Arabidopsis thaliana: one gene and its partner. The protein of the gene in region 1 interacts with the protein of each later gene in a pairwise test. Each region holds a gene or a part of one and is shown in the gene's direction. Other genes may lie near its edges.

The links.
Region 2: the proteins of AT2G39020 (region 1) and AT2G47850 interact in a two-hybrid assay, tested with the Arabidopsis thaliana proteins (one large-scale study listed by BioGRID).

The regions. Positions count from the first base shown.
Region 1 is NC_003071.7:16,293,410-16,297,012, forward strand, and holds AT2G39020 (Acyl-CoA N-acyltransferases (NAT) superfamily protein), read left to right. Parts: upstream 1-1,730; 5' UTR 1,731-1,982; coding exon 1,983-2,693; 3' UTR 2,694-3,086; downstream 3,087-3,603. Other genes in the region: PIP2E (plasma membrane intrinsic protein 2E), read left to right, coding at 1-130, 209-337. UniProt on the Arabidopsis thaliana protein: Probable protein acetyltransferase with dual specificity triggering both N-alpha-acetylation (NTA) and epsilon-lysine acetylation (KA).
Region 2 is NC_003071.7:19,593,840-19,599,209, forward strand, and holds AT2G47850 (Zinc finger C-x8-C-x5-C-x3-H type family protein), read left to right. Parts: upstream 1-1,689; 5' UTR 1,690-2,113; coding exon 2,114-2,201; intron 2,202-2,293; coding exon 2,294-2,433; exon of another isoform or gene 2,434-2,762; coding exon 2,763-2,825; intron 2,826-2,912; coding exon 2,913-3,032; intron 3,033-3,107; coding exon 3,108-3,395; intron 3,396-3,480; coding exon 3,481-3,789; intron 3,790-3,881; coding exon 3,882-4,280; 3' UTR 4,281-4,825; downstream 4,826-5,370. Other genes in the region: AT2G47830 (Cation efflux family protein), read right to left, coding at 1-134; Tic20-II (putative conserved protein ycf60), read right to left, coding at 492-1,118; AT2G47844 (uncharacterized protein), read left to right, coding at 1,454-1,600.

The DNA.
Region 1 (3,603 bases):
ATTGCCAATTGGATTTTCCGTGTTCATGGTTCATTTAGCCACAATTCCAATTACTGGCACCGGAATAAACCCGGCTAGGAGTTTTGGAGCTGCCGTCATCTACAACAATCAAAAGGCTTGGGATGATCAGGTTTGTATTTTCACCATCTGATATTCGTTCTTGGGTTTTAAATTAACATATTAATGAGTTTTGTTTTAATAACTACAGTGGATCTTCTGGGTCGGTCCATTTGTGGGTGCAGCCATTGCAGCATTTTACCATCAGTTTGTGTTGAGAGCTGGTGCAATGAAGGCCTATGGGTCAGTCAGGAGCCAGCTTCATGAGCTCCATGCTTAAATTTGTTATTTCGAACTAGCGAAGAGGTGAAGAATTCTTTGGGCCAGGAAGGGAGGAAGGAAAAAAAAAAGGGACCCAAATCATATAAAAGAAAAAACGAATATTATTTAAGATGGTCGGTGAGTGACATTTACTGTGTCTTATTTGTGGCTTTGTGGGGGAGGTTTGTGTGTAACAATTTGTAACGTACAAGCAATGTATGTGTTATTTGATGCATATGATATTTATATATCTACTTATTGATGATTCTATCTTTGATCAATCATCATTATAACTTAAATTTCATAGAAAAAAACACAAACTCCAAAACCATAAACTACTATTGTTCCTAAATTCTCAGGAATGTCAATGTCGATCACAATCTTAAAATTTCATGCTAAAGATCCTTTGGGTCTTTTCCATCAACGGTGCATCCTATCAATCACTGAAAAATAAAGGGCACAAACATTTGTAATCGTCTCAAACAAACAAATAAAAAATGTTGAAATGATAACGCCATGGATAAAATGTTGAAATAAAAATAAATGATTCACGACACATGTTTAGCTATGTATAGGAGAAAAACCAAATCCTCTCACTTTTCTCTTTTATCTGGTTCCCCTCAGATTTCTTTACTATCTTGTTCCTCTTACTTTCCTCTATTTCTTTGGTATTGCCATCTAGTGAGATCTTAACATCTCACAACTTATATGGCACCTTCCTCTATTTTCTATATTTTTTCAACCGCATAATGAACATGACACCAACAATCAGAAGTAGAAACCCAACCAATATCCACAGGTGTGAAACATAGAATTACCAGATTTAGCATCAGTCTGACACATCTTGTATGGATACTAAGAGAGAGGGTAGAGTCTAGCATGATTCTTGAGAATAGGTAGATAATCGGCAATAAATGCAACATTGTTTACACTAGTAAATTGACATATTTAGCAATAAAAATGTATATATAAATGTTAATAAAACCAATAAAAGAAATCTATTTCACATTTAATATCATGCGATTGTTGTAAGATGTGGTAGCTTAGCCGATCTTCCAAATATGCAAGATCTAGCTCATATTTTTGAGCATGTGTAGTTTAGGTTCAAAATAATATCTTAGAGAAAATAAAGTTGGTAATTAGAATATTATTAGAAATCAACTCACACACATCGTGTGGGTTTATTGGTATCATATATTATTCTACCTATTTTATTTTATTGAACAATGTGTCTTTAAAAATGAATAAGTACATAATTTTTTAGACTTATATTTTGAAATTTTGTCTATATTAATACTTACTATATATGAATTGAACTTGTTAAATATTGTATTGACTTTTGTAGTGGTAAGAAGAAACAATAAAAATCCATAAAAACAATAACTTGGTTTAGCTTTTGGTTACGTATGTAAGGGGGTTACTAAAAGTAAAAACACTGGGTTTGGGCTGGGTTCAGTAACTCTCATACAAAATCCATAAAAACTTTGGGCTGGGCTCATTCAAAATCCATACTTATTTTATTACTTTCCTAATTAAAAAAAATACACATAGCACAAGAAAAACCACCGCCCAAGCTTCTCTAGAACCTCTCCATCGTTCTCACTATCACTCCCCCCCCCCCCAAATATAAACCCTAATTTTCACAATCACAGTACCAAAAAAAAATGGCAGCCGCCGCACCGCCACCGCCACCAACAGCAGCACCGGAACCAAACATGGTAGCACCACTAATTTCACCAATCGGCCACCCAATGTTCTCCCGGATCCGTCTGGCAACACCGTCCGATGTCCCATTCATCCACAAACTAATTCACCAAATGGCAGTCTTCGAACGTCTCACGCATCTCTTCTCCGCCACCGAATCAGGTCTCGCTTCAACACTCTTCACCTCTCGTCCTTTCCAATCATTCACAGTCTTCCTCTTAGAAGTCTCTCGTTCTCCATTTCCAGCAACCATCACTTCATCACCATCTCCCGATTTCACACCGTTTTTCAAAACACATAACCTTGATCTCCCGATTGATGATCCGGAGAGTTACAATTTCTCGCCGGATATGTTGAACGACGTCGTTGTAGCTGGGTTTGTTCTGTTTTTCCCGAATTACTCTAGCTTTTTGTCCAAGCCTGGTTTTTACATTGAGGATATATTTGTGAGAGAGCCTTATAGGAGGAAAGGGTTTGGTAGCATGTTGTTGACTGCTGTGGCCAAACAAGCGGTGAAGATGGGTTATGGAAGAGTGGAATGGGTTGTTCTTGATTGGAATGTTAATGCTATCAAGTTTTATGAGCAGATGGGTGCTCAGATTCTGCAGGAGTGGAGAGTTTGTAGACTTACTGGTGATGCTCTTGAAGCTTTTGATCAGGTCAACATCTAGAGATTGATGCTGTGTTGCTGAGAGTTATCGAATCAGATCACTTCCTCTTGCTTTTAAAGTTTGTGTTTTTTTTCCTTCTTCTTGTTGTTACTTTATGCAAGTGTTGGCATTGATGATGATGATGATGATGAATTCTCTATGCTTACTTGTTGGATACTGAATGAGAAAAAAGAACCCTTTTGTTGAATGTATGAAATGTTTCGAGTTTTTAAAGTAAGAGTTATGTATTTGTGTGATTCCTCGTCATATTTGCTTGACCAAAGTATTTGTTCTGTGTTATGGATTTGAAGAATTGGTTTTGTGATCCTAGAGGACAGTGAATTGGAGAGTACAGATAAATTGGTCAAATGAAGAAATTGTGATCAAATGTAGAATGGTTAAGTTGCTTGCGAGGCACACACAAGTCTAATTGCAAACTATATAGGTTAAGCCTTCTTGCTTCAGTTACTATAGAAGACAATAAAAACTAAGTTTTAGTAGTCTCTGACTCTCTGTCTTGTTGTATAGAGAATTAAGAAACCGTGAGCATGAAACAAAAATTCATCTATTTTTATTACTACAACAAAACATTCCGCTTTTGTGTTAACATAGAGAACAAAAGACCCCATTTTACGAAAATGATTCTACTCTTATAAATGGGCTTAAGTGGGTTGTAAAATTTGTAGAAGAATGCACAAACACTTCAACATCTCTAGTTGTCCTACTGGCTTTAAAGAACATCTCTTTGATTGAGATTAATTCACTTGCAATTTATCGGTAAAACTTTAAAACTGAACCAAAAGTAAAAAAGAGTGAGACTAGTTTTTTGTTTGTTAAACATGAAACTGGACATAAAACTGGACAGATACATTCTACTAATATCATGCATTCCGTTAAGTATTTTGAACAAAAAATCTCATCTTTGGAAGAG
Region 2 (5,370 bases), 3.3 Mb from region 1:
TGCGATGAAGAAGAAGATACTCGGAGTGGTGATGATGATGATGATGATGATGGCAGATAACGGCAAGACATATAATATATAGTAGACCTACAAATCCTCGTCGGATTCAGGATTTGAAATCTGATAATACCCATTTTGATTTCAGCTGAGAAACCCTCTCTCCCTCTTTTCTCCGATCAGTTTCCCAAATTGACTTCTCATTCATTGCGCGGTAAGATAGACGGCGCTCATTTTTTTACCGTTTACTTAGTTACCTTTTCACCGACGATTGTAAAATTATACTCAGTCAATGATAGCTTCATTAAAGGCCCCCCATACTGTTCTTTCATATTGGGCCAAATCAAATGTTGGGAGTATAACAAAAAATATTTTTTTTAAAACGGTAATGGTTAATTAACAACACTGATTGATTTGGTCTCTCTTATAAACCAGAAATAACCGATTCTAGAATCGAAAACCCGAACACTGAGTGAGGTAGATATTGGCCGGAATTAGAGTTGTCTACCGGCGGCATCAGCGACAAATGGAATGTATGGAGTTTTGCCGAGTAAGGAGCTGACGACTCCATACACAAAACACATAAAGCTGAAGACGAAAACCCCCGTGTGCCCCCACATCATCGCCTTCATTCCAAACCCGCCTCCTTGACCCGGATCCAGTATTCGGGTCAGCAGCACCGGAACCGCCAGGAGCACATCCAGCGTCACCGCCTGCATCGCGTTGAACCTCACGTACCTACTGAAACTCGTGTTCCTCACCACTCCCAGGTACAGCCCGAAGAATGCCACGAAGCTCGCGTACGGCACCGATCTGTACAGGTTCAGGATTGGGAAGATTGGCTCGAACAGCAATCCCAGCCTTGGGTACTGCGCGAACAGGAACCGCCCGTACTGCAGAGAATTGAAGAACGGCAGCGCGTACGACGCTATCGAAATCACGCGCTCAGTCGCCGGCGTCGGGGTGTAGGAGGCGCGGGTCGTCAAGGCGGTTGCGCGTCTGCTAGAGGGGCGGATCGAGAAGGTTGAGGATCCGGGGAAGGAGAGGCTGAGTGGTCTGCATCTGGGAGCCGACAGGGGATTAGTTAGGGTTTGGTGGAGAGAAAGGCACAGAGACGCCATTCTTTTATTTTTTTGTTTGGGATTTTCGCTGTTTAGTCGGCAGTGTCGATTTGTTGACAAGAAGAGCAAAAAAAAGTAACAGCTCAAACGCTGCCGTTTTCGAATCTAAAATTTGGCCCGCGCACACTAACAACATAATTGGGCCGACTTAGCTATATAAATGGGCCTATATATGGTACTAGAGGGCTTCGTGAACAACAGAAGGTTTTTGTGGCGCCGACAAATGGGAAGCGGAAACGAAGAAATGTGATGGCATTGATTGAAGGCGAGTCGAGTCGAGTCAGACTCGGTCAGAGCGAGTTGAGAGAGCAGTTAAGAAACAGTAGCAGGTAGAAATGACGGATGTGTCCCCACTTTCGGACCAGACCACTTTACTCCCCGAGTTAGCAAGTGAAGTGAGAAAACTGTCTGTGTGTCACATGTTGGCCACTCGCGCGCTATCCCCGCCCAAGGACCTTACCGTCATTTTGGTTGGAAACTAGTAAAAATTAGTTTATTTATTTTTTGTTTGTTGTTTTGTCAAGTAGTATATTTCTTGGAAATATCTTCCCTTTTCTGGGATGCTTTTACTTGGCGACCCAAGGACCAAGAGAGAACCAAAAATAAATCTCACAAAACAAATTAATACAAACTACTACTATATACTATTATTATTTAAAAAAGAATATGAGAAAAAGAAATTGAAAGCTAAAAAAAGAAACAGTAGTGCAGAGGGCAGACCGTACGGTATTCCTGAAGAGCGAAAGAAGAGAGAGAGAGAGAGAGAGACCGACCAAAGAAGAAGCTCCTCTCAATCACTGTCGAAGCATCTCTTCTTCTTCTTCTTCTTTTTTTCTTCTCTCTCAGAGCTTTTCTAATCGGCTTCTCCGGTAAATCTCTGTCGATCCACCGATGAGCTTTTGACATTTACTCTCTTATTAGTTTCTTCTAGTTTGGTGAGAGGAGTTTTTACTAGTATCTTTTTTACTGTACACCAAATCCCTAAATTTAAGGACATGTATGCTCGCAATCCTCCCCTCAATGGCTCACAATCTGCTCAAGCTCCCGACTGGACCCCTGCAGATGCCGATACCGGACTCCAAGGTCTCGCATGCGCTTTGATTCTCAGCAACTGTACGGTCTCTTTAGGGTTTCCGCTAAATGGCCCTGACTGTGCTCAATTTTGTGATTTGCAGAATCGATGTGGCGATTAGGGTTGGGTAGCGACTCGTACCCTGAGAGACCAGGTGCTCCTGACTGTGCCTACTACATGCGAACTGGTGTCTGTGGCTACGGTAATAGATGTCGTTACAATCACCCTCGCGATCGTGCCTCGGTAATTTCTTCCTCTCATTCATTCTTCTTTCTTATTATTGTTCTGAAACCATCCATACTAGGAGGACACAATCAAATGCTTCTCTCTGTTTTTTCCGCAATGTGGGTGATCACTGGCCTTATAGAGTCTCTCTAAACTGGGGAAATTGTTAAGCTTTACTGGTTTCAGTTGTTGTGCTTTACGTCACGTTTTTTTTTGTCTTATGCATTGACTCTACCCGGTGTTTCCCTGTATTTACTGATACCTTTGTATGCTCTTGTAAAAGCTTATCATTTTGTCATCTTAGCTTGGCCACAGTTTACTATTTTCTCATGTTGATTCATGTATAGGTTGAAGCAACTGTTAGAGCTACCGGGCAGTATCCTGAACGTTTTGGTGAACCCCCATGCCAGGTAACCCACCCCGACCAGTCATTTTATATGTTCCAAGTGATGAAACAAGGTTTTTTGTGATATTATTGATCTCTGCTTTCCTGGCAGTTTTACTTGAAAACTGGAACTTGTAAATTTGGGGCGTCATGCAAATTCCACCATCCAAAGAATGCAGGTGGATCCATGAGCCACGTTCCACTAAATATATATGGATACCCTGTACGAGAGGTAAGCTTTGTTTCCACTCATGTCAAATAAAAGGCTAGTCTCGAGTTTGCATGATCTTTTATAAACTCTTTGTAGGGTGATAACGAATGCTCCTACTATTTGAAAACGGGGCAATGCAAATTTGGTATAACCTGTAAATTTCATCATCCTCAGCCTGCTGGTACTACTGTCCCACCACCACCAGCATCTGCACCTCAGTTTTATCCATCGGTGCAGTCACTTATGCCTGACCAGTATGGAGGTCCATCTTCTAGCTTGAGAGTTGCAAGAACTCTTCTTCCTGGTTCTTATATGCAAGGCGCCTATGGTCCAATGCTATTAACCCCCGGGGTCGTTCCTATTCCAGGCTGGAGTCCTTACTCGGTGACCTTTTTTTTTATTGATGTATCATCAATACATTTGTTATTCACCACAGTCTCTTACTGTCTCACTTTTGCTTTTGCTTCAGGCACCTGTGAGCCCTGCTCTATCTCCTGGTGCGCAGCACGCTGTTGGGGCAACTTCTTTATATGGAGTTACACAGCTCACTTCCACCACTCCTTCGCTTCCCGGGGTTTATCCATCTCTGTCCTCTCCTACAGGTGTTATACAGAAAGAACAGGCCTTTCCAGAGAGACCTGGTGAACCAGAGTGCCAATACTATTTGAAAACAGGAGATTGTAAGTTTGGAACATCTTGTAAGTTTCATCATCCTCGAGATCGGGTTCCACCAAGAGCGAATTGCGTCCTCAGCCCCATTGGTCTTCCTCTACGCCCGGTATGCTCTGTGTTAATATGTCATAAAGGTTGTTGATCATAGTTATAACATTTCTGTCTCTAAATCCGTTGTTTATCTTGGGTTGAAAACAGGGTGTGCAACGGTGCACTTTCTACGTACAAAACGGCTTCTGTAAGTTTGGATCAACATGTAAGTTTGATCATCCAATGGGAACGATCAGATACAATCCTTCTGCGTCCTCTCTAGCTGATGCACCGGTGGCTCCTTACCCAGTGAGCTCTCTCTTGGGTGCTCTGGCAGCTGCCCCTTCTTCTTCATCGACAGAGCTCATAGCAGGCGGTGCAAAAGATGCTTACATGACCGGTGTGCCTACATCAAGAAGCACATCAAACATCTCGGCAGGTTTGATTTTCTCCCAGAGCGGTGGGTCAATTCCATTCTCAGAGCTGCAACTCTCGAGCCAGAGCTCTCTTCCTCTAACAGGTAGCAGAATCACAAGACAAGGGCGTGAAATTCGTCGATCCTTTTGAATAGATCACCTCAGAAAAGGGTACGCATACGCAGGTCCTCTGGATCACCTTTTAGCAATTCTTAATCTATATGACTATTATTATATAGAAGCATGTGATGTGAATTTATATATATAATCTTCGTACCTTGAGAAGAAGAAAAAGCCTATTTGAGTAGAAGACCTGAGTGAGAATCACATATATCTGAGAGGAAATCTATATGTGCATATACCAAAAAAGATAACAAGAAAAGGCTTCTTCTTTTTTTTTTTGGAATTTGTGTATAATGTTTGTATAGAGACAGACAAGGTTTCTTTGTCTTGTCCGTACTTCTACTTCAGACCCATTCCGGCTGAGACACAAAAACAAAAAAAAAAAAACTGAGACAAAGAACTCAATTCTCCTCTTCTTTTAGTCTGCCAATTGGTGTACTTCTCGTGTGTTAAGGTTTGTTCTTATTGTAGATGAATGATGTGTGTTGTTAATTTTGTTATGTTACTGCTTCACACATTACATGTGTTATGGTGATGAAACAACCTACATTTCAAGACTAGTTTTGAAGGTTGGCACCATTATCTTGAATATATTTATTTCCTTAAAAAAAATGGTTTTGAAATGAAGTTGAGCGGAAGCACACTAATCCTAGAATCGATCAATAGCATCGGGAAAGTGGTACAAAAAAAGAGACGAGAGAAATGATGGCCTAGAAACAAGTTTTAAAACAATATGGAGAAGGAAGTAATCTTTAGAGAAAACCCTACCTGAGAAAAGAAACTATCATGCTCAATTTAATATGCTTCGCCATCATTTGCTCTTATTTGCCTTCCCCACTTGTCTCTCTCTCTCTACACTCTTACTTTTCTTTTTGTCAAAAGCCCAAGGAAGAAGATGAAATCAACTAAACTTGGACATCCGGCTTTGGATTTGGATTTTGTAGAGTGGGAAATTGTAGTTTGTTGTGAAATCTAACAACAAAATATTTACCAAAATATAGATTTGCTTAAGTGAGATATGTAGTATTTTAATGAATTGCGTATTAATAGGTTAGGAGTAGTAAACTTTTTGTTTTTCTTGTTAACTCGTTTGAGCTACTTCCGGAATTGAAAAGAAA